Mytilus edulis: one gene and its partners. The protein of the gene in region 1 binds, or shares a complex with, the protein of each later gene. Links are inferred from orthologs where the notes say so. Each region holds a gene or a part of one and is shown on either strand. Other genes may lie near its edges.

Region 1 (9,268 bases):
CTGTGATTCAGCTACAAATACATTAAATCTTTTCTTGGCTTCTGCAGCCTCCTTCAGTACTTGTAATACAACCCTCGACTTGGAATTCGTTAAAATTGTCTACAATTGAAACTAATGTTATACAATAATGAGAAATTCTAAGCAAATGAAACGATGATGGTACTTGGAAAGTTTAAACTTGTTCCATTTAAAACTACCTTTAGCTGAAAATTGATTTTTAAATATCCCCCCCCTGAAATTTTACATTCATGTTTTTGGTTATAATAACTGATACGACTTTTCTGCAATTTGTTGTATGTCTTATTGGTTAAAAATTAACCCCTAATAAAGTAATGAATTTTCTAGCTGTGTTAAGGACCTATTGGTGGCCTTTGGCTATTTTCTGCTTCATAGTCAGGTTGTTGTCTTTTCGACACATTTCCTGTTTCCATTCTCAATTTAATTTTTTCAGTCAGAGGAGACAGAAACCTTTAATGGAAGAAAAAATATTTTAGGGAGGTTACATAAATTGAAACCTACAGTTCCATCTCTGATGAATGGATGTGTCACTTTGCCAATCTTTTGTCTTGACCCTGCTACTTTATCCAAGAACAAATTTCCTCTTTCAACCAACAGCTTCTTTAATTCTTGAATATTCTGGAATAAAATCATATAAATTGAGAATAAACAAAAACAAAGTACAATTAACTAACTGATTTTTGTCAGAGATTTATTTTGTGACTAAAAAAATACAAATATATTGTGAATATATGCATATATGTATTTCAACACAAAAAAAAAAATCAAACTTGGGTCATTTCTTAATACATTAAGAAAAAGAAAGAGAGTTGTCTCTTTAACAATCCTACCACATCTTCTTACTCTTATAGAAAAAATATTTTCAATTTTTTTTTTAATTAAATATCCAATTAATTGAGAAAAAAAAATATAATGGCAAAGCTTCTGTTTAATTATTAAAAAAAACCACACATCACCTTTGAAGAAGTCCTAGTATACAGTTATTTGGTAGTGCATTTCTTTTAGACAATAAATGGAAATAATAAAAATCCCACCTGCACTTTCTCTATACTATTTTTAGTGTGGTGTACTACTTTTGAGACAAATTATATCAAAATTATAGAAAACTTCATCAGCTCTAACTCAAAATATGGACAATTTTATGTTCAGGGGGTCTTGAAATCTTTTGACAGCTTCCGAAATGCTTATTTTTAACCTTTTTCAGTTGGACCAAATCACTACTTTACTTTAAAATTCATGAATCAAATTTTTTCCCAGTGTAATTTTATCCCCCTACTTGCTATTTGAGGCATAAAACATGAAGAAATAAATTTGGAAGGGGTATACCAAAGATTGGCAAGTAACACACTGTCCACACTAGGGACTATATTTGTGGACAACGAAAATCAAGAAACGATAACTGTGTACTCATCAATTTTGCTCATTTTCTAATTTTACATGGGCATAACTTTTTGTATTTTTTTCTTAAAAAGATGAGAAACTGTGTATAGTTACATACTGAGTATTCTAGTGAAGTAAGTTTGAGTGATATAAATCTTAGGAAGAGTTCTCCAGCTGATGATATAGATGTTGTACTACTGTCGGTCTCAGTTAATATATTTATAGCTTCCTTCAAACTTTCTCTCATTTCCTGCACAGTTTCAACTGCAAAAGAAAACAAGAAGATAATGCAAATGTGTAATTTTATTACAGTAAAACAATGAGTCAGTGTTCTTGTTTTATTTAATTGAATAGATCAATTTGAAGTAAAATGCTTTAAAGATACACTTTTTTCAAAATTATATTTCACACATTGAAGTTTCTCTGCCATACTCATACATGGACATATTTATTCTGGAATGAGAACTGAACAAATTTCAGAGCAATTTTCAAAATCTTAGTGATCTGCATTTAATATCATCTTCATATCCTGAGCATAAATTTGAATCCATAAAAGTTTTAAAAAAATATATAATTGGCTATTAATTTTCCATAATTGAATAATGTCTGTTTGTAAATTCTTATTCATGTTCAGTTCTTGTGATACTAATGTAACACACATTACCTTTATATAATTATGGTATGTCCATGCTTCATCAGATCTGAACACACTTTTAATTGACATAGAGGAAGTCTAGTGATTTCTTTAATTACATGTAAGTATGAAACTTTGGTGGATAGATATCCATTGTCAATCAATCAAAAGAGGGTTTTTCAGGGAGCCTAGGCTCCCTCTTTTGTGGGAAAAAAATGGTTGATTATATAGAGAATCACTCAAGCATGACTGGAGTGGATCCCCTCTTAGGCAGTCAGTCCCCCCCCCCCCCCCCCCCCCCCCAAATATGAATGTGGTCTAATAAACTTTTCCCCTCCCCCACTAGAGTGCAAACCTAAATTCTCCTTCTACTTCGTTGGTAGGGGAATGGGGACTAAAAACACACACACAAAAGCAAAAGAACAGCTCTTGTATTGCAGTTCATTTTCTCAGAGTCATTTATGTTCTTTTAACAAGATATGATTAAAACTTACCTTTACTGATTTCCAGGAGGTGAATTAATGTTTTGATTGCTGCTACAGCTGCTGCCAAATCTGGTTCATTATTAGTAAGATTGGTGAAATATGTCAGTATATCTGTAATATAACAGGTAAACAGTTAAAAATACAGATAAATCTTATATAGTGTTACTTAGGTTGGTAAATTATGTCAATATAGTCCACTTCCAACTTCCAAAAAAGAATTATAATAGTCATTACTGCCTCTAATAAAATTGAGAATGGAAATGGGGAATGTGTCAAAGAGACAACAACCCGACCAAATAAAAAACAACAGCAGAGGGTCACCAACAGGTCTTCAATGTAGCGAGAAATTCCCGCACCCGGAGGCGTCCCTCAGCTGGCCCCTAAACAAATATATACTAGTTCAGTGATAATGAACGCCATACTAATTTCCAAATTGTACACAAGAAACTAAAATTAAAATAATACAAGACTAACAAAGGCCAGAGGCTCCTGACTTGGGACAGGCGCAAAAATGCGGCGGGGTTAAACATGTTTGTGAGATCTCAACCCTCCCCCTATACCTCTAACCAATGTAGAAAAGTAAACGCATAACAATACGCACATTAAAATTCAGTTCAAGAGAAGTCCGAGTCTGATGTCAGAAGATGTAACCAAAGAAAATAAACAAAATGACAATAATACATAAATAACAACAGACTACTAGCAGTTAACTGACATGCCAGCTCCAGACTTCAATTAAACTGACTGAAAGATTATGATTTCATCATATGAACATCAGGCACAATCCTTCCCGTTAGGGGTTTAGTATCATACCATCATAAGTTCATAACATATATGAGAAGAACATAACCCGTGTCATGCCAACAACTGTTTTTAGAATATATGTGTTTAGTTCCGATGCAAAGACCTTATCAGTGACTGAATATTAACGCCAAAATATGCAATCTTTAATGAGTTGACAACAGTATCGTAATTATATCCCTTCTTCAGAAGTCTAAGTCTACCAGACAAAAATCAATCTGACCATAGGTCAATCTGACCTCATAATAATATGATGAATAATCATGATCAGATGATAATTACTGAAAATTTTGGTTATTACCGGAAGAATATTTTTAGGAAACAGTACTAGAGATAAACGACAACAGGTGAAAAACCTTTTTAATTATGAAATCCGTAATTATCAAACAATATCACTTTTATCCCTGGTAGATATTTTTCATTTCATAGATAAAGATTTCAGATATATATAGCAGCTACATTGACTTTACATATGGGCCAGATCAACTAGGCTGGAAAAGCCTGGAATCCACTTGGAACAACATATAACCACTATAAACACCCATAATCTATGCAAACATATGCAGTCTCGAGCTCTTGACATACACGTATTATAACAGATTGTCAGAGTTACTTGTGTTCTGTGGTTTTAATATATTTTAATTCATTTCTCATCAAATAAGGTTTCCCTGTGCCTGCCTGTCCGGTACACATCAAATTGTGACCATCTCTGGCAAGGGAAAACCAAAATAATTAGAAAGGCAGTGTCTGTTCGTACCCGCATGCGGGTACGAATAGCAAAATTGCCGTTCGTAGGCTACGCGTACCCACATCCGGATTTATAATAAATTGCCATCGGATCGGGAATTAAACGTAAAATATATACAGAAATTATCGCAATTAGTGAATAAAATTGATCAACTACTTAAGAAGTTTTGTAAACATTTATATATATGTAAGTGATCAACAGTTTTTCCCGGTTAATAAATATTCTTAAAATGGGAAAAGAGTGATATACAAGTGGGGCAGACATTTCAAAGTTATCATGAATTGGAACAATGTGTTCAAAAGTATCAGTCGATTGATTTTATACAATTGTATATAAAAACAAACTCGGAGTCAATTGCAGCTGCAGAGAAAAGATGAACTGGAAAAACAAAAAATAAAGAGGAAATCAAGTTTTACAGAATATTTTTTTCCTGTCATTCACGGAGGCAAAAAATTCTAAACAAGTTCGACAGGAAAAATGAAGGCCTATACATTATTTCTGAAAAACAAAGGCCGATCATATGCCAATAATCTTCTATGAAAGCTTCGTTAATAGTAAACAAAATGTTTGACAAAAATGTAATTTAAACCTTCAGCGCATCAAAAAATATTTTGCCTCTGAGGCGTGGAAGCAACTTAAAATTCGGAAATTATATATTATCAGATTATAGGACTATAGTTTACAGGGACTGTATATTTCATTTTCAATCAGTACATGTGCATTTAATTTGCAAGGTTTATTATATATTATCAGAGACGTCTCTGATATTATTAACTTATAAATACAATTCGAAAATATTATTTGTCATACCCTTCACTCGTTCTACTCGAAATCCCCATATTATCGATAATTAATGTATATATTTCACGTTTAATTCCCGATTTGATTGCATTTTATTATAAAACCGGATGTGGGTACCCGTAGCCTACGAATGTCAATTTGACTATTCGTACCCACATGTGGGTACGCGCAGACACTGTCAATTAGAAATGAATTAAAAATATATAAACAACAACAAAGCACCTGTCATATAATTTTCATTACCATATGTACATCGAATATGGTAAAATTGAGTAGGAAAATATCGCCTCTGATACTTTAACTATAATGGGATTAGCACAATTGATACTTTTAGATTCTATATCATTAAAAAGAGGGTTTAGTCACAACCTTGTTTTTCCATCTTTTTCTGTTGCAATGATCTGTTCGGTACTTATAATTTTTTTGATCTTCAGAAGATGCGTCTAGAAATTTTCCGAAAGCTCAATTTCATCGGTACCAAACCCTCCTTTCATTGGTCAATTTTCTACTTTCATTTTAATTTTACCAAATCAAAATTATCGTTATGTTAGTGTCTTGGAATCTTTCATCAAATGGAAACATATCATTGATTTCTTTCCCCCTTACGTATGTTCTCCTGAAACAACATGTGAAAAAATTATCTTTGTCCAAGTGTATTTGAAATGGCAGGTAATTGTCTCATTGTCATCACACATAAAACACCTTGTTTTATTAACATGAAAAAGATGTTACCTGTGAAAAGAGACGAAATACGAATTAGTACATATTTCCAATGAGTCCCCCTGTTTACTAAACAAAGGCCAAAGGACAAAGCCATGTTCTATTAGACCTTATCCATATTTTGAAATATGTGACAATGAACTATTAAAGTTTTACAACTATGTCTTCTCTTTTGTTGTGTCATTTTTAAATGCAGTAACAGATTAACTCCACACCCATCATTTTTCCCATACTAAAATATGAATATATAAAATTGATTTATTATGTAATTTTCAGCTACTGTAAGTTTCAAATTAATTGGATAAAATTTATAGTAAAGTAAAAGTAAAGTAAAGTAATCTTTATTTAAAGTCGGGTTGCATATATATACATAATAACAAAGAACATGAGCTCTTAAGAGCTCTTTAACCGACTGATATTAATAAACAAAACATACATGTTATAACATCAGATACACATACAACACAAACATACAGACATCACATATATATATTAATACATAGATAGCACATGCAGAATAAAAGCTAAGCAAGATAGATTAGAACAAATGTCTAATATCAGCACATATACAGTAGCACATAGTATTTATATAACAGTAGCACATGCAAACTTAAACACTTTAAGCACAAACAAAAGACTGCATGCAGCTACAGCAAAGGTAATGCATAAGCAAAAGAAATAAATGGCTAAATAAAAAATAAAAATAACTGCAAAAAAATAAAACATAAAAAAAACCAAACATACCGTGTATAAAAGCCTAAACAGGATTCTACACGTACAGTACAGCCTGTGACTTCCTCTTAGTTATGTCCACCCTCTTGCATGGTCAACATCCAATGGTGAACATTTATTGGGGTATTCAATCTTGAGATGTTGGCCATTTATTGGGGGTCATAAATCATGGGCAGATTTTTTATCTAATTATGTTACCTGTTAAAATCAATCAGGGTTGAAGTTTTCAGCTGGTATGTTTCATTAAATTTTACCTGTACAGGTGACTTGGGTTTCTATCAAAATTGACATTTCACCTTTTTTTGAAAATGTAGAATAAAATATTGTTTTACTCTGTTAATTTATTATTATTTTTTTGTCTTTAATGCTATTTAATTTTTTAATTTTTTAATTGTTTTTTTTTTCATTTTTGTTTGTTTTGTTTCTTACTGTTTTGTTTCTTATTCTTTTAATTTCTTCTTGGTAAGAATCTTGAGTCGAAATGGCAAAAAGTCAAAGCTAAAGTTATTGACTAGCATTTGAAATAAACAGACTTTTAATAATTGTTTTTTAAGTAAAAGGTTTATATAAATACACATGATGTACATTGTATTCAATTGTTTGTTAACATTATTAAATGAGTTATTACTATTAATAATAACTAATAATCATGCAAGTGATATTTTAAATAAAAAAAATGAAAGTAATTAAACAATTTGGTTTCTTAACAAAATAAGATGATCAATATCAATCCTTTTACAATAGATTTTGATAACATCTAACATTATTCAGGAAAACTACAAGTACCATTATATGGTTTAGGAAAAAACTAATTTTGTTTATTTAAATTTTCTTCAAATCTCAAAACAAGAGTTGTGCACAAACAATCACCGAAAAGACTTATTTTCTAAATGTCCACCTAGTTATCATCAAATTTTGATAAATGTTCATTAAAAATGCTAATCATAATGAAAAATGTTCTTATATATCTGAATCAAGTGAATCTTATGAAAAGAAATTATTTAAAGAAATTGTCTTGAAACTTATTAACTTAAGTATGTTATCTTCAGTTTGGTTAATTTCTTTCAAAATTTGTCTCCAGAAAAAATAAAGTGCACTTCTAAAGATGGTGACACTTTAATGGTTTATTAATTAAATCATTTTTTTTCAGTGTATTATATTGTCGATAGTGCTGGACTGGCATGATACATATTCTTGGTATACTTTTAGATAAAGTTAATAATTGCAGGGACTTTAATGAATTAAGACTTTTAAAGTCCTTAATAAAAAATGAATTTAAAGAAAAATCTAAAAATAATAACTTATGATAAAAACTGTAAACTTGATTGTGTCAATTAAGGTAGAGAAGTTTTGGTCATAATTTAGAAATAGAAAATAGTGGGCAATATAAAATTCCTAGAAAGGATAGAATGTGTAAACTGTGCCTCTTGTAGGTCAATGAAGAACACCTATTCCTTGATTGTAAAATTAACAAAACAACTTTGAGATATAAATCCATTTGAAAATTATTTACCTTCTCATTATAATGTCTCTAACCCAAGAACAAAAAGTAAAAGAAATGCTTAACCTCTAAAACATGGATCATGTTTAAAATATCATATGACAATAAAAATATTATCAAATTTTGCTGTACTGAATATTTCTAATACTTATAAAAAATATTTTATTCAATAAAGAAATAATGAATTGCCTAAATTTTATTTAGCTTAAGTCCTAAAGACAATCTTAATCATATGTTAAGATCAGTCTATCTACAATAATAAACCATTTTGATTTTAGAAAATTAATTTGAGAAACACCTTGTCAATAGAAAAAGGCAGGCATTGTAAATATTTGCAGTATATTTGAAAATGAGATTCATTTATTCTTTACTACCAAAAAATAGACTTAATATAAAAAATAACTTAAACTGATCAAAAATTATTTAAAAGGTATAATATCAAAACTAATAGTCAGGAGACAATTATTTTTTAATTAAGCTGTTTGTTCAACAAGTTTTATTGTTTCATTTTATTTTTGAATTTCTTGTCATAATAACAGTCATTAAATTTGACAAACACATACATGTATATTTTACCTGAGACACCTGACCTGTAAGTAATATAATTTTAACACTTCAATGCATTCAAGATTTCCCTTTATCCTTGACTAGTTTTTGATAAATACCTTGTGTATTAAAAAAGCAACAGGGGGTATGATGATGAACATATAGGGCCACCATGGTGAACATATTTTTTATGGCCACCATTAATAAGATAAAGTCACAGGTAGTACAATGTACCACTACAGATACAGATACAGATAACAGCAGGATTCATCAAAGCCAAAGGTCTGAGATAATTAGTAAGAACTTTATGAAGAACGTCACATTAGAGTCTCCTGTAATATTACATTTATAGACATTTGAAGATCTAAATCTGTGCAGCCCATTGCTTGTTGAAAAGGGTAGAAAAGCACTTTTTAAAATAAAAAAAATTAATTGCATACCTGTCAACCTGTGACGATTATGCAGGTTATGACCTGCATTGAAGAATCAAATCTCAGGTCATAACGCGTACGAACTTTTCCGAGCTGAATTTCAGTATTTATGGTACATTTTCTTATAATGTATATCAAAGATACCAAAACATCAATGCATGTTCAGTTTGTTAAGTCATTTTAAATCTTATTAAATAATATGAGGCAGGCATTACCTGTGAATGGGGACGAAGTTTGTTTAAATTATTTTTTTTGTAACTTTTAAAAATATTTGTTAAAATAAAGAAATGGAAATACCGTAACGTTTCCGATTTTGGTTCTGTTGTTAGGGATTTTACTTGTGACGTTATTTAAGTTATGACGTCATGTTTAATGTAAACAAATGACGTCATGTTTAATGTAAACAAAGAAACGCAATGCATCAGGTAACGTTTATTCATAGACAAAGAATGATTAAAAATGAAATATTAG
Region 2 (8,815 bases), on another chromosome or scaffold:
TTCCCGTCGATATGCACAACTACATAGTATGTCCTTATTATCTGAAAAGGTTTCGTGAAATTCTGTTGTGTGGTTTGAGAGGAGTTGCGATGACAAACTGTTGCAGTAGTACATTAAAGTAAATAAGTTCAAAGGGGCGTAACTCCTAGAAAAAAAATTAAATCGCAATTTCCCGTCGATATGCACAACTGCATAGTATGTCCTTATTATCTGAAAAGGTTTCGTGAAATTCTGTTGTGTGGTTTGAGAGGAGTTGCGATGACAAACTGTTGCAGTAGTACATTAAAGTAAATAAGTTCAAAGGGGCGTAACTCCTAGAAAAAAAATTGAATCGCAATTTCCCGTCGATATGCACAACTACATAGTATGTCCTTATTATCTGAAAAGGTTTCGTGAAATTCTGTTGTGTGGTTTGAGAGGAGTTGCGATGACAAGAAACAGGACTGACGGACGGACGGACGGACGGACGGACGGACGGACTGACGGACGGACGGACTGACGGACGGACGGACGGGTCAAAAACATTATACCCTGCGCAACTTCGTTGCGTGGGGTATAATAACCTGCTATACAGTAATTTTTGTACTGCATGCTCATTTTTTATTTTCTTTCTGTGTCTTCTTCCTAACATTACCATTTATATAACCGATTTAACACTTTCATGTCCTTTAATGAATAATCTGGTACTTACTGCCATGAATATACTGATACTTTTTATCTTTATCTTTTTTCTTTAGACTGTCATTTTCATCTGACATGGGTTCTTCATCATTTGTACATAGCAGCATCTGAAATTTAATTATAATTTTTTGCTATAAGAATCCTTACAATCACATAAAAATATATATAAAAGAGGGTGTTTGTTTGATTAACTTGATTCTCTTGGAATTGCCATGCTCTTTGCATGTTAAGAACCCTTGCAAAAACTCTTTGAGGGATCTGTAGGTGGCCTGTTGCAAGGCAAAATTTCTGTCCCTATTCAATATACCCTCATTTTCAAGTGGCAGTCCAAAGTTCTCCGACCATCATCCGGAATGGCCTCTATTATGACAAGACCTACCCATTGTTTTTATATTTATCTTGTTCTCATCCTGAACATGCATGAAATAATTGCCACTGGACGTTGAGCAACCAACAATCAATTGATTCTCTATGATATTGATTTGTCTGTCTTTTTATGTCTAAGATTTCTGATGTATATCCCCCTTTTTTTTCTGAACAAATATGACCTAAATGGAGAAACTAAAAGGAATTATTTAAACAGGATTAAGGTGCAAGCTCACTTAAATTTCAAGGGCCCATACACAGAGCCTTATCCAGGATTTTTTAGTGGTAAATCAAAACTCACCTGAGATAACAGGCATATAGTTTTGTACCCCCAGGCATACATTTGTCTAAAAAATACTGGTCAGTGATGCTTGAATCAAGAATTTTAAATGAAAAATCAAGTACAAAGAATTGATATAAAGAAGAAAGCAGGGGAAAAGGAGAAAGTAGATTTTGATTACCCTGTCTGCTTCATAATGTTATTGGTTGATTGGTGTTAACGCCTCTTTCAACACTATTAATTAATATACAATTTTGTCAAAATTGCAGCGACCAGTTTTTATTGGTGTAGGAGGCCAGAGAGAACCATCAGCATTTGATAGGACAACTGATAATTCCTAGTCAATTAAGATTGAAGATGAGTGCACCAGCCATGTGCAGAAATCAAACTCACAACTTCATTGTTGACAGGATAGTGATACATGTAGATTAGTGTGAAAAACATATATTGGCTTGAGTGTCCTTTAAGCACCTACCCTTGGTGACTCCTGCATATGAACAACAAAACAATTGTTCATATGCATCAGCCACGAGGAAGGACTCAACTCAAAAGCTATTTTTATAATGGATGTGATGTTAGTGCATGGTCAATAAACACTTAATATACTGGTTTACATGACTACATGTGTTGTTAATTCAATTTATATTTCAAGTTTTTTTCAGTTGTATTTCTTTTTTATTTTTTTTGTGTATTGTCTATTGCAATTGTTTGATATAAAAAAATCAATGTACTGATTATGCCTATAATGGGTCCTCTATTGGAAATAAAATTTATCTATTATCTATCTAATATCTAACTCTTATAATTAATATCCATACCTGGCATAAATCTGCTGTTTTATAAGCTGTTTTGTTATCAATGGTTTTATAAGATTCTATCACACAAGGCAAATCCATCAGCTAAAATAAACAAAATTATTACAATTAGATGATGTAAATGCTGAATTTTTTTAAATGATGTTTTCACTATTGTGTGTAGGACTAACATGATAAGAATTCCAGTACATTTGTATCTAAAACTTTCCCACTTAAAATTTTGAAATTATAATACATTGTATCAAGAGGCAGACAGCATTTCTGAAATAGTATAATATTTATCAGTACACTATATATTATTGTAGCTCAGAATGATTTACCAAAAGAAGTTATACATTACATTTTTTAAAAGACAAAACTCCCAACATACCCAAGAAATCTAGGGTGTGACTAATATTTTGTAATATTTATCTCCCTTGTAACATGTGTAAGTTTTACCTTTGCATGAAATATATCTGTTCCATATCTAACAGCTCCATGTCTATGATCCTGGTTCAGTTCTATACTTATTCTGTCTTTAAGTGTCATAGACCCTGATTGGACCTCTCTCCGTAAGGCCATAGCAGATCCCTGAAATTAAAATAGTCTTTACTAATATAGGTTTGTACATCATCAGCAGCTTCAGACTTCTAACAGTGATTTATACATGCACTGACATGGACGTTATCTCAAACGTAATTTATCTTACAGATGGATTTTAAACTTTAATGATTTTTTATAAATCATTTAATATCACAATTTGTAATTTCGGAAAAAAATATATTAAATGTGATAAGAATTATATTTTTCAAGGATTTAAAGCTAAACCCTTTACCATGTTTACAATACAAGAAAAACATGGTCTCATATGATATCAAAGCTCTAAGTCCCGCTAAGAACTACATGTACCACTCTGATGAAAGGGTTTTCTTGAGTCAACCTCTAAATTTCAATGTGGTAAATGATTGTTATAGGAAGAATCACAGGAGTTTGAAATCCTATCAATAAGGGGGTAAAAATATACCAAAGTCGACTATCATACCAAAGTCGACTATTACACTGTGATAGTCGACTTTGGTATATTTTTACCCTCTTATTGATAGGATTTCAAACTCCTGTGGAAGAATGAAGATGAAAACAAATCAAACTGTCAGACTGTCTAACAAACAAAACATAGACAAACAAAACATACACAAAACACAGCGGTATTTGCAACTTCACAATATTGATAATTACCGGTGGAAGGCGTAAAATAAACTGTTGTTCTAAGTCATGCAGTGGTTCACCAGCTCCTTCTTTTTTCTTTGCTTTGGAGCTCATTTTAGCAGTGTTGATTGGTTTTTTTCACTTCTCAATCAGGGCGGAAGTCACACTGTACCAACAAAATACAAACCAATTTACGAATCCCATAAAATTTACGGAGCGTCTGATGTGCTTTGTTGTAATTTATAGATCTTTATAGAAAAGTTCCATTCTTTTACTTTTTATGATCTTTTATATACATATTGTTTTACACAATATTACAACAAAAACACAATGAAATTATTGGACAAAATACAAACAAAAAAGCATAACCTTGGGGTCTCACTAATTAGCGACAACAAGCGTCAAGAAGCGACAACAAGCGTCAACAAGCGACAAGAAGCGACAACAAGAATTATTTTAGCGACAACAAGTATAAAATGAGCAGATATGTCTAATTAAAATGAGATTAATAAAGGGGTAGCTGAGATACTCTTATCATACTGAAACAAAATTAACGGTACCAATTTTCTTGCACCAGATGCGCATTTCGACAATACATGTCTCTTCAGTGATGCTCGTGGCCAAAATATTTCAAATCCAAAGCTTATATAAAAGATGAAGAGCTATAATCCAAAAGGTCCAAAAAGTATAGCCAAATCCGTGAAAGGAATGAGAGCTTTGCATGAGGGAGATACATTCCTTAATTTATAATTATTCCTATCATTTTGTAACAGTAAATTTTAATAACACAAAAAAATCCGTATTTTCATGCCAGTACCGAAGTACTGGCTACTGGGGTGGTGATACCATCGGGGACTAATAGTCCACCAGCAGAGGCATCGACCCATTGGTAGTAACAAAATTAACGGTAGTGTCACAACTTGTTGAATAATTATGCTAATATTAAAAACACATTTGAATTTTTCACTGGTCCATCAATACTGTACAAGAAAAACACTTAAAAGTAGATTGAACATAATAAATAACAACAAAACTGCCATACCATGTGTTGGCATATACATGATATATACACAGCTGAATAAGACGCTAAAAATTATCAAATTCGGAAAATTGCATTTTTTTGCATTTGCAAGGAATTGCAATCTCATTAAAATCCGATGTTTTGAGTGGAGGGTAGCGTATCAGAACATCAGATTTTAATGAGATTGAAGGAATCGTAGTGAGAATTTTCTTATTATAAAATCCTTGTTGCACATAAACACAAACAAAAAAAAATATAAAATTATAAAATTATAAAATTGATATTGAGTGTAACAGAATATTAATTTTTGGGAATGTTGATAAAATGTAATGGAAACTTATCACAAAGTACTTTAGAGCTGACAAAAAAAGCAAAAAAAGTATTTTTTGCAATAAAATCATATACTAAATCATTGAATAATCTACCTATAAAAGTAGCAAATAATCTTTTTGATTCTTTAGTAAAACCAATTATGACCTATAATTCAGAAGTAACATATTTGGATACATATATTTCTTTTCATCGAGCCAAAAGCAGAGCCTTAACTTCAGGAAAAGAAATTAATCAACTTGATTTTATAGACAAAACCCCCATAGAAAATATGCATCTTAAATTTTGTAAATCTACTCTAGGGATAAGAAAAAATGCATCCAATTTAGGAGCAAGAGTTGAATTAGGAAGATTGCCTATAGAATGTTTTATTAAAACACAAACCCTTTTATATTTAGCTAGACTATATAATAATAATATTAATCCATTGTTAAAGGAAGCTTTTTCTCTAGCACAGTCTCTAGATTTGACAGGAACTTACTCATGGTATACATATGCTAAAAATATTGTTAAAGAGACTAACGTTGACCTTAATATTCTTTCTACTTGTAAGGACATAAAAGATGTAAATAAAATAAAAAACGATATAAAGTTAAAAATGAAAAATAGATATGAAGATTTAATTCAAAATAAATTTCAAAACATCGATGATAAAAGTAAATTTTTTCTCTATAAAAAACTTAAAAAAGATTACAAACTAGAATATTATCTAAATACATCTAATTTTCAGATAAGGAGATTAATCACTAAATTTAGAATAAGTGATCACTCCCTCTTGATTGAAAAGGGGAGATATTTTAAAATCCCAAGAGAGGAACGTCTTTGCCATAAATGTAAAATACTAGAGGATGAGAAACATTTTTTACTATATTGTGAGTATAATAAAACTCTAAGAAATGACTTTTTTCATCACATATGTACAGAAAATAATAACTTTAATAATTTAAATGAAGAAGAAAAAATTCATTATTTACTAAATCCATCATCGCCTTTACAAACAAATAAGTTAGGATCCTTCTTGAAAAAGTCATTAGAACTGAGGGCAGGGGACTCTTAACAACTTGTTTGTTGTTATAAATTTTAATGCTGTTGATATTTTGTATGTTTAATATGTATGTATATATGTTTATTGTGTTTATTGTATTAATATATGTTGGTCACAAACTGTAAAGTTTATATGACAATAAAATATTTGATTTGATTTGATTTATAATATTAGCAATTTTACTATCTTTTATATGTTTTTGTATTGCTGACAATATTTTTTTATTAACAGCTTCTACCAACCAACGATTTGCATAGTGAGACTATACAAATCCTTGACTTATGTTGTGTTTGAATTAATAGAAATTCGTGAAGGGCACATAATTATCACAAAACAACGAATACCCTGAGTATAGTAGCAATGTTAATAGAAACCTTAGAACCTGTACATGATATTGAGGATGAAATGCATTTTATTTTATCATGTCCATTATATTCTAATGTTCGTGAATGTTTGATAAAACCATATTATTGGCGTAAGCCATCTGTTTATAAACTTTTACAATTATTAAGCACTACTAATGTAAAAGACTTGTGCAACTTGGGAAAATATATATTTAGAGCACTTAAGCTCAGAAATTACTGTTTTCAGTAAGATGATTTGTAATTCATTTGTTACAAATATTTGCTATTTGGAATTATATTTATATGTATTTATTTTTTGTGTATTTAATACTTCTGTCTGTTTTGTTATGATCGTATATTTTAGTAATCTATATATTTAGTTAGTATATATTGATTATGTGTACCTATATGTTGTAAAACATTTGGTTAATAAAGAATTGATAGCAATAGCATATCAATACAAACAAGTATAGAAACAGAGGCGGATTAAGAGGATATGACCCCCCCCCTTTTGTGGGAATTTTTTTGTTGATTATATCAGAACAGAACAGAACAGAACATATTTTATTTCCAATTAAGGGCCCACAAGGGGCATACAGAGCATACATGAATAAGGCAAAAGAATATTGATTTGCATAGATACATAGATACAAACATTTTTTTACATACAGTTACAATACAATTACTAACTCATATTCACTTTAATAAATTTACCAACAGCATTAAGGACCTGATTGTCTTCACAGTTTAATAAATAAATAAATTTATGCTGATTATCAAGTATAGAAAAATTCGGAATTCTTTGGCAAACAAAGTCAAAGAGAGCATCTCTATCCGATTTTATATCTGAGACTACTATATACTATATAGTAGTCTCAGATAATATACTAGAGAATCACAGAGGCAGGACTGGAGCAGGCCACCTCATAGTCTGAGTCAGTTAATTGGCCCTGTGACAAGTTGTGAAAATTTCTGAATCCGGCACGGAGATACATATATTATCAGTGACTGATGTGGATAGTACAGTAGAATTTGATACATTTGTATCAAATTGAATGGATCACAGAAAAGGGGGTCGCATTGAATTCCTCATAACAGATGTTTGTTTAAATTCACTACTTTCAATGAATACTAGTGTCCACACGTGGCATTATTTACTCCGTGATTAATTGTGACCTCGTGTTTTGATTAATTTTCAAAGTTTCACATTTTACTCGTTTACCTGTCAACTTGAGAAACCCCCGTTGATAATATGACGCAAAAATGTGATCACCTGATCTGAAGGCTATTTTTAAACGTATCAGAACATACCTACGTTTGGGTTGAGTAAACACTCAGGTAGATTCCAGGTACATTGTTTACATGTATGGACAATCCCCATATCTACTGATCAACTAAGCGTTGTTTGGACATGAGGTCACCGGTGGAGATACCGTGTTTACTATATTCATTTTAAAAAGTAATATATTTGAAATTGAGTTGAAAACTACATTTATTTACCGTCTCCAGCGTCAGTACTATAGCAAGGTAAGTAATTACTTACTTATATATGTTATTGTGTTATGTTTCTCTTATGTAACATTCCACGGATAAGAATATCATCTTTTTTTTTATTTTAAAAATTCAAAAATTTACTTTATTTAAATCTTGAACGTATGTTCCTCGATTTCACGCATTTTATTAAAGTTACAAATTATATATGTGTATGGCTATCCGTAATAAAATATTCTCACTTGTTGAAATATTTTTCTAAATATTTACCCTGTATTGTTTATTAATTTCATGCATTGTCTTTATACTCGACACACCTATTGAGGGTATGAACAGGGATCCTTCATTCAAGTTCTTTATTCATTAGTTTTCCACATTGTATTTCTCTTTTCTTTATACTTTTCTACAATTTTTTCTCTGTGTTATATTTTCTGCTCGTTATATTTTTCTATTTTTCTACATTCTTTATTTGTTGGCCCATTATTCTCTATTTAGTACCCTCCCCCCACGGACCCTCTTATATGGAAATATGACTGGTCAATAAAAATTTGAATTATAAAATAAATTCAGTCATAAATGTCGAGCAACAGATGGAGCCCTTATGAATTTACATTTTTTTTTTAAATTGAAAAGATTTTTGGTTTGTTATATTTCTATACAATGACAAAGAAAAGCGAGTTAAGAACTTTCATGATTTTAGGTGGCTGACTTTTAATTAAAAATTCTCATTTGATACTGATGGTTTTAAATCTTTTCTTTTTGTATCAAATGAGAATTTTGAATTAAAGGTCAGCCACCTGATTCATCTTACTCTAACATAAGTAAATCGAATTATAGAAAGAAAAAAAATGGATATAGGATAGAGCTAGAGAAGAACCCTTAATATTTTTAGGTTGTCAGTAACCTGAATTCAAAAACGAAACATTTTAAACCAGTATCATATAATATAACTTACTTAAAAATCAATTTATAGAGTTCGAAAGAGAGAGAGAGGGGAGGGAGAGATTGAGTTCGGTCATATTTGCGTCGACTAGTCACTTGTCAATTTATGAAGTGGCACATTTCAAAATAATAATCTATAGTGATAATTGAGTTAAGCCTCCCTTTGAATCGATAATCTCACATTTTTCTATCATTTTTTTTTATATAATTAATCAATTACTTAACCTGGCTTTATTGATTAGCTATATTGTTGACAATGAGAAGACTTCTGTGTCACATGACAAAGCTGGATATAGATCTAATTGACAAACAAGA
Region 3 (8,417 bases), on another chromosome or scaffold:
GATATCATATATAACACATCCGTCAAACCAAGATATTCTATGTAACACATCCGTCAAACCAAGATATAATATGTAACGCAATCATCAAACCAAGATATCATATGTAACACATCTGTCAAACCAAGATATCATATGTAACGCAATCATCAAACCAAGATATCCTATGTAACACATCTATCAAACAAAGATATCTTATGTAGCACATCCAGAAGACAAATATATCTTATGTAACACATTAGTTTTATCAAGATATCATATGTAAAGCATCCGTCAAACAAATATATCATACATAACACCTCCATCAAACAAAGATACATAATGTAACACATCCGTCAAACAAAAAATTCACGTAACATCTCCACCAAACCAAGATAATTTATGTAACACATCCATCAAATAAAGATAATTTATGTAACACATCCATCAAATAAAGATAGTATATGTAACACATCCATCAGACCAAGATATCATATGTAACACATCCGTCAAACCAAAATATCATATGTAACACATCCATCGAACCAAGGTATCATATATAACACATCCGTCAAACCAAGATATGTGTAAAACATCCGTCAAACAAAGATATCATATGTAACGCAATCATCAAACCAAGATATCATATGTAACACATCCATCAAACCTAGATATCATATGTAACACATCTATAAAACCAGGATTTCATATTTAGCACATCCACAAGACAAAAATATCTTATGCAGCACCTCAGTCAGACAGATATCCTATCTAACACATCTATCAAACAAAGATATCTTATGTAGCACATCCACACGACAAATATATCTTATGTAGCACCTCAATCAGAAAGATATCTGATGTAATACGTCCTTCAAACAAGTATATCTTGTGTAACACATTAGTCTAACCAAGATATCATATGTAACACATCCGTCAAACAAAGATATCATACATAACACCTCCATCAAACAAAGATACATAATGTAACACATCCGTCAAACCAAAATTTCATGTAACATCTCCACCAAACCAAGATAATATATGTAACATATTCATCAAATAAAGATATCATATGTAACACATCCATCAGACCAAGATATCATATGTAACACATCCATCAAACCAAGATATCATATGTAACACATCTATCAAACCAAGATATCATATGTAACGCATCCGTCAAACAAAAATATCACATATAACACCTCCATCAAACAAAGATACACAATGCAACACATCCGTCAAACCAAGATATCATGTAACACCTCCATCAAATCAATATAATTTATGTAAAACATCCGTCAAACCAAGATATCATATGTAACACATCCGTCAAACTGAGATATCATATGTAACACCTCCATCAAACAAATATAATTTATGTAAAACATCCGTCAAACCAGAAACCCTATGTATCACATCCGTCAAACCAAGATATCATGATATACCTCCGTCAAACCAAGATAATTTATGTAACACATCCGTCAAACCAAAATACCCTTTGTAACACATCCGTCAAACCAAGATATCATATGTAACACATCCATCAAACAAAGAAAAACATCAATCAAAGAAAGATATCTTATGAAACTCATCCGTCAAACCAAGATATCTTATAAAACATCCGTCAAACCAAGATATCCTATTTAACAAATCCGTCAAAGTCAAAATGTCATATGTAACACATTCATCAAACAAAAAAAGCATATCCATCAAACCAAGATATCTTATGTAACGCATCCGTCAAAGGCAAAATATCTTATGTAACACATCCATCAAACCAAAATATCCTATGTAACATATCTATCAAAGCAAGATATCCCGTGTAACACATATGTCAAATAAATATATCTTATGTAGCACATCCATCAGACAAAAATTCTTATTTAGAACCTCTATCAGACAGATATCTTAATATGTAACACATCTATCAAACCAAAATATCATATCCAACACATCCATCGAACCAAGATATCATATATAACACATCTATCAAACCAAGATATCTTATGTAGCACATCCACAAGACAAAAGTGTCTTATGAAGCACCTCAATCAGACAGATATCTTATGAAACACATCAATCAAACATAGATATCCTATGTAAAACATCTATCAAACCAAAATTTATTATTTAACACATCCATCAAACAAATGTATCATATGTAGCACATCCACAAGACAAAGATATCTTATGTAGCACCTCATTCAGACAAATATCTTATGTAACACATTAGTCAAACCAAGGTATCATATGTTACACATCCGTCAAACAAAGATATCTTATGTGGCACAATCATCAAATCAAGATATCTTATATATCACATCAATCAAACCAAGATATCTTATATAACACATCCATCAAACAAAGATATCCTATGTGATACATTCATCAGACACATTTCTTTTTGTAACACATCTATCGAACAAAGATATCTTATGTAACACTTCCATCAGACAAAGATATCTCATGTTTCACCTCCATCAGACAAATATCTTGTGTAACACATCCGCCTAACCAAGGATTTCTTATGTAAAACCTCCATCAGACAAAGATATATTGTGTAATACATCCAACAGAAATATAAATCTAAGAAACACTTCCATCAAACAAAGATATCGTAGGTGATAACATCTACATCAGTCAAAGTTATTTAAGGTGGTAAAACCTCCATCAGACAGTGATATCTAAGATATTTAAGTCTCCATCAGACAAAGATATCTAAGATATTAACACCCCCACTAGACAAAGTTAATTAAGATTTTAACATCTCCATCAGACAAAGATATCTATGTTGGTAACACATCCACATCCACAGATATATAAGATTTTAATACCTGCAACAGACAACAATAAATAAGGTGTTAAAAAACGCCTTCATTAGTCAAAGTTATTTAAGATGTTAACATCTCCGTCAGATAAAATTATTCAAGGTGTTAGGTGTTAACCCCCCCCCCCCCCCTTTGCCCCCCCCCCTTTGCCCCCCCCCCGACAATGTTATTTAAGGTGGTAACACCTATATCAGACAGTGATATCTAAGGTTTTTAAGTCTCCATCAGACAAAGATATCTAAGATATTTACACCCCCACTAGACAAAGTTAATTAAGATTTTAACATCTCCATCAGACAAAGATATCTATGTTGGTAACACATCCACATCCACAGATATATAAGGTTTTAATACCTGCAACAGACAACAATAAATAAGGTGTTAAAAAACGCCTTCATTAGTCAAAGTTATTTAAGATGTTAACATCTCCGTCAGATAAAATTATTCAAGGTGTTAGGTGTTAACCCCCCACCCCTCCCCCCGACAATGTTATTTAAGGTGGTAACACCTATATCAGACAAAGATATATAAGGTTTTTTTAAACACCTCCGTCAGACAAAGATATATAAGGTGGTAACACGTCCATCAGCCAAAAATACATTAGGTTTTAATATCTCCATCAGACAAATATCTCTAAGGTGTTTACACCTCAGTCAGACGGAGATGTATAAGGTGTTAATACCTCCATCAGATAAATATCTTGAAGGTGTTAACACCTCCATCAGGCATAGATATCTAAGATGTTAAAGCACCTCCATCGTACAAAGATAAAATTGGTCTAAATTGGTGACATCTACATATTACAAAGATATCTCAGTTGGTAACATCTTAATTAGACAAATATGTATAAGGTTTAACACCTCAATCAGACAAAGTCTAAGGTGGTTACATCTCCATCGTTTAAAGATATCTCATGTGTTTACACCTCCGAAGACAAAGATATCTAAGGCGTTATCATCTCAACCAGACAGAGATATCTAAGGTGTAAACACCTCGATTTACAAATATATCTAATGTGTTAACACCTCCGACAGATTAAAATATTCAAGGTGTAAACACTCCATCGCACAGATATCTAAGCTGTTAACACCTCAGTCAGACAAAGATGTATAATGTTTAACACCTCCATCAGACAAAGATATCTAATGTGTCAACACCTCCGAAGACAACGATATTTAAGGTAGTAACTTAATCCTGTTAAAGATACTTAGGTATCAACTCATACTTATAATTATGCCTTGCTTCGGCTGACCTTTTTTACCAGGAACACTGGGAAACTAAGTTTTATAAGACGCCTGCCATTCATCTGTTGTGGTGGGGAAATTGATTTTCTAGATAAATTGCAGATTCTATTTTTTTAATTCTTTTTTAAATGTTTCAGAAGGAAAGTTGAAAATAAATCCATTTGTTGGTTTTCATTGAAACTTAGGGTGAAAAGGGATTCAACATTGAATTGGAAAAAAATATTGTTGAAATTTTAGTTCCTGTATGTTTTTGATATTTTCAAAATGAGTGTTTGTGTCGAGAAAAAAAAAACCTGTTTTCCCACAGAAAAGATGGATGGTTGGTGCATAAATACATATGGAGCTGAAAAACCAAAAAGAATCTGCTTTGCAGAGCCTATCAGTGAATTCAAATTTTAATTGTTCCAGTCCTGACAATTCAATAAATATTTACCACTGAACGTTTAATAAGACAATATAGCTGTCATAGTTTCATATTCAGTCTATCATCAGCCCATTTCGGTGTGTTATTAAATATCGAAGTTTTCAAATAAAAAAAATTCGATATTTGATTTTAAATTTATCAGAGACACATAATATATTGTAAAAATCTAAAAGCAATTCATGAGCCACCAAGATGTCTCTGGTTCTAAATGTTAAGTTAAGTCATCCCTTTGAAATTAAAACAAAACTATTTATTTTTGATCGATTTTATTTGCATTCCTGTTTTTCTAATCGACCTGTGGAAATGTATCAAAGATGTAATGTAGATCACATTGGAATTTCGAAAAAGAATAAATATTGGAAAAGACATTGCGAAAGTCAATGTGTATTGGTCGTGACATATGTCAGGGTATTAGTGTCAGGGCATTAGGGAAACCCGGAATCCGGGAAAATTTCCGCTATATATAAATTAATTTTACCGTCAGAAATCAGAAATAGCCGAATCGTCATTTCGAATCATGGCATCAACAAGCAGAGGGTAAGACACACATTGTATGCGACAATAACTACCCAATAACAGAATTGTGGAAAAGAGACTTTCCTAGAAAAATTGAAACATCCCCCTATAGACCTGTTACCTGTTTAAATTATCTGAGTAAATCACCCCACTTTCATCGCCCGTTAAGAATTTATTTTATATTTAGTCGGTTGGGGATAATCATCAGAACAACCCTTCAAATGAGGGGTAACCCCTCAATGTAATGACTATTCCTGTGATGAGGGGTTTTAATGTTTCTTAAAATTATGATAGAAATATTTTTTTTGTTAAAATCACCTTTTCTACATCTACATCATGACATAAGACGATCCATCAGCACATTGATGACTATACGTCGATGCATCGTAAACAGACTCTTAATAAAATATAACAATTCATGAGTGCAATAATTCAAAAATAATTTTGTCGAAAAAAAAAACAAAAAAACCCACACATTTACATATTTATCCTACCGTAGTCAAAAATCGGTCATCTTGTTTGTTCATTCGGTATTTGTGTTTGAACTTAACTCACGGGGATTCCGGAAACTACTAATTGACGTCACTATGCTACTTCAAGCGTAGAAAATTAGTGCAGAATACGTTTTTTCTACTCTTTTGAATAAAAAAACATGTCGAAAGGTAAGTACATGTATTGCTAAAAAAATGCCAATTTTCTAATGACCGTTTCAATCCTGACTTCATGTCTAAAACTTCACAAAATCCCACTTCCGGCCTCCATTGCTTTGTGTACATTCCATTTAGAATCATCAATCTTGTGGCAGGAAGTACAGGTCAAGCAAATCATATTTTTAGGAACTTAAAAATGACATGCTCCATACATCTTTCGCGATTTTCCCCGCAAAAAAGCCCAACCAAAATGATATTTTAAATATTACAGATATATTTTTTTGTTCCGATTTGTTCCATGTTTTTAAAATTTAGCGATTTTTTTCACAGATTCTGAACTAGAATTAACATTAAATGTCTTTCATGATCGTCTCGCAATACTTGACCACTGTTAGATATTCTTTCACGATCATTTCTCTCATTGAACCGAATGACACCCGTGTAAATATACTGACTTTGGATCAGTATTTTAAACTGATCAAGGGTTTAACACTGATGACGTTTAGTGGAAATAAATTCCACAGTTCAACTGTGAATAGAAGAAAGCTGTACTTGAAGTAATCTGTTCTAGTGCTGAATGTTTCGTATTGAAGGGAACTGGTGAATCATTCTGAATCTGGTGTTTTTGACTGGCTGTGGTATAAGGTAAGGTTTAGATCTACATGTACTGCAATGAGTTTGTGTGAGATTTTGTACATCATTGTTATTTGATTGATGTTCTGCGAGTTTCAAGTGACTTCCATTGAAGAAAGTCAATCATGGAAGTGACACTACTGGTGTTGTGGTACCTGTTGGTGTTTTTTGTACAAAGTAACAAATGAGCACATATTATTATATATTATTTGAAGAAACTTTTCCCAAAGAACTATAAATCTATCTGGCATTACTGGTATATGGTTCAAATAAGTCCAAGAATTTTGTTATATTACTGGACTTGTATCTTCTTTATTATTAAAAATAATTGGACACCTCTTTTAGAAAAGTTTTTTTTAGATATAATGAACTTTCCCCCTTTTAAGTTAAAAGTCTTAAGTTTTTTTGGTTTTTTTTTCTACATCAGTAAACTGACACTGGGCATTGTGATGTCATACTTTCCATTAAAAAAGCATGCCTAGTAGGAATTCATATAAGGTACGAAAGCATGCCTAGTAGGAATTCATATGAGGTAGGCATGCCTAGTAGGAATTCATATGAGGTACGAAAATATATCTGACCATAAATGGCAACATTTTCAGACCATTGTTCAAATTAGAACTAAATAGTCAATACAAATATAATGGCCTCTAAAGATCCTACTCTTTGAAGTTTGTTAACTTTTATTCTGATAATATATCAGTAATCGTGTCTTTATGCAAAATGTTGCCCTTTACCCAAATGTTGCCCTTTACCCAAATGGTTGAGCCATGACTGAAAATATCTGTAAATCCAAAGTTTATATATGTAAACAACATAACATAGGGCAAGTTCAATAATGATGATTTTTACTTTTAGCGTTCAGGAGTTACGGTTCTTGAAAGTTTAAAAAATGTCGTGTCCATGCATTTACTCATGAACCAGTCAACCAAACCTTTTAAAATTTTAATATGTTGTTACTGATAACAAAATGAAGCTCAAGTTTAATAATGACGATTTTGATTTTACCGTTCAGGAGTAACGGTTCTTGAAAGTTTAAAAAATGTTGTGTCTGTGCATTTACTCATGAACCGTTCAACGAAACCTTTTAAAATTTCCTATTAGGAGTTTTGGTCCTTGTAATATTGATAAATGCCAGAACACAAATAAATGTTAAAGAATCTGGTTTACTGTCATTTTGACAGCTCTTGTTGATTATTGGCCCAGTTTTCAAGTTTGTCCAAATCGGGGTCCAAAATTAAACTTTGTTTGATTTCATCAAAAATTGAATAATTGGGGTTCTTTGATATACCAAATCTAACTGTGTATGTAGATTCTTAATTTTTGGTCCCGTTTTCAAATTGGTCTACATTAAAGTCCAAAGGGTCCAATATTAAACTAAGTTTGATTTTAACAAAAATTTAATTCTTGGGCTTTTTTTATATGCTGAATCTAAACATGTACTTAGATTTTTGATTATGGGCCCAGTTTTCAAGTTGGTTCAAATCAGGATCCAAAATCATTATATAAAGTATTGTGCAATAGCAAGAAATTTTCAATTGCACAGTCTTCAGCAATAGCAAGAAATCTTCAATTGCACAGTATTGTGCAGTAGCAAGAAATTTTCAATTGCCACTATTGCGCAATAGCAAGAAATCTTCAATTGCACAGTATTGTGCAATAGCAAATATTTTCAATTGCACAGTATTGTGCAATAGCATGAAATATCTAATTGCACAATATTGTGCAATAGCAAGAAATTTTCAATTGGAGTTATCTTTCTTTGTCCAGAATAGTAGTTGAATCAACTTAAATCATTGTTTTATACAATATACAATGTATATTCACTTTTACTACCAACTGATAAATTAAAACAATCTTTACCATTCAGTGATAACAAGCACTTTATTTTACATTTTAAATTTACTATGTTATGATGTATTTAAATGAGTAGTTATTGTTGCAAACTCCATTAGAAATTTGAATGGAGATCAGTTTTAGAAAAAGGGAAAGGGGGATGTGAAAAAAAAAATGGGGGGTGGGGGGTTAAATTTTTCTTATTTCAGATTTCATAAATAAAAAGAAAATTTCTTCAAACATTTTTTCAACAGCAAAGTGAATTGCTCAAAGGCAAAAAAATTATTTTAAGTTCATTAGACCA

What was found. Proteins that work in one complex are often made in the same cells at the same time.
Region 2: general transcription factor IIH subunit 3-like (region 1) and transcription initiation factor TFIID subunit 7-like share a complex: the UniProt entries of both Homo sapiens proteins name them as parts of the TFIID-containing RNA polymerase II pre-initiation complex. The link is inferred for Mytilus edulis from reciprocal best matches to the Homo sapiens genes GTF2H3 and TAF7.
Region 3: general transcription factor IIH subunit 3-like (region 1) and transcription initiation factor IIB-like share a complex: the UniProt entries of both Homo sapiens proteins name them as parts of the TFIID-containing RNA polymerase II pre-initiation complex. The link is inferred for Mytilus edulis from reciprocal best matches to the Homo sapiens genes GTF2H3 and GTF2B.

Annotation. Positions count from the first base shown.
Region 1 is NC_092349.1:84,928,403-84,937,670, reverse strand, and holds the start of general transcription factor IIH subunit 3-like, read left to right. Parts: upstream 1-5,402; 5' UTR 5,403-5,529; coding exon 5,530-5,536; intron 5,537-5,599; coding exon of another isoform or gene 5,600-5,684; exon of another isoform or gene 5,685-5,699; intron 5,700-9,268. Other genes in the region: translation initiation factor eIF2B subunit alpha-like, read right to left, coding at 1-99, 520-636, 1,517-1,662, 2,527-2,628, 5,600-5,684. UniProt on the Homo sapiens protein: Component of the general transcription and DNA repair factor IIH (TFIIH) core complex, which is involved in general and transcription-coupled nucleotide excision repair (NER) of damaged DNA and, when complexed to CAK, in RNA transcription by RNA polymerase II.
Region 2 is NC_092351.1:88,525,856-88,534,670, forward strand, and holds the start of transcription initiation factor TFIID subunit 7-like, read right to left. Parts: upstream 3,514-8,815; 5' UTR 3,442-3,513; coding exon 3,358-3,441; intron 2,713-3,357; coding exon 2,581-2,712; intron 2,227-2,580; coding exon 2,146-2,226; intron 789-2,145; coding exon 692-788; intron 1-691. UniProt on the Homo sapiens protein: The TFIID basal transcription factor complex plays a major role in the initiation of RNA polymerase II (Pol II)-dependent transcription.
Region 3 is NC_092345.1:2,984,851-2,993,267, reverse strand, and holds the start of transcription initiation factor IIB-like, read left to right. Parts: upstream 1-4,904; 5' UTR 4,905-4,995; coding exon 4,996-5,015; intron 5,016-8,417. UniProt on the Homo sapiens protein: General transcription factor that plays a role in transcription initiation by RNA polymerase II (Pol II). Involved in the pre-initiation complex (PIC) formation and Pol II recruitment at promoter DNA.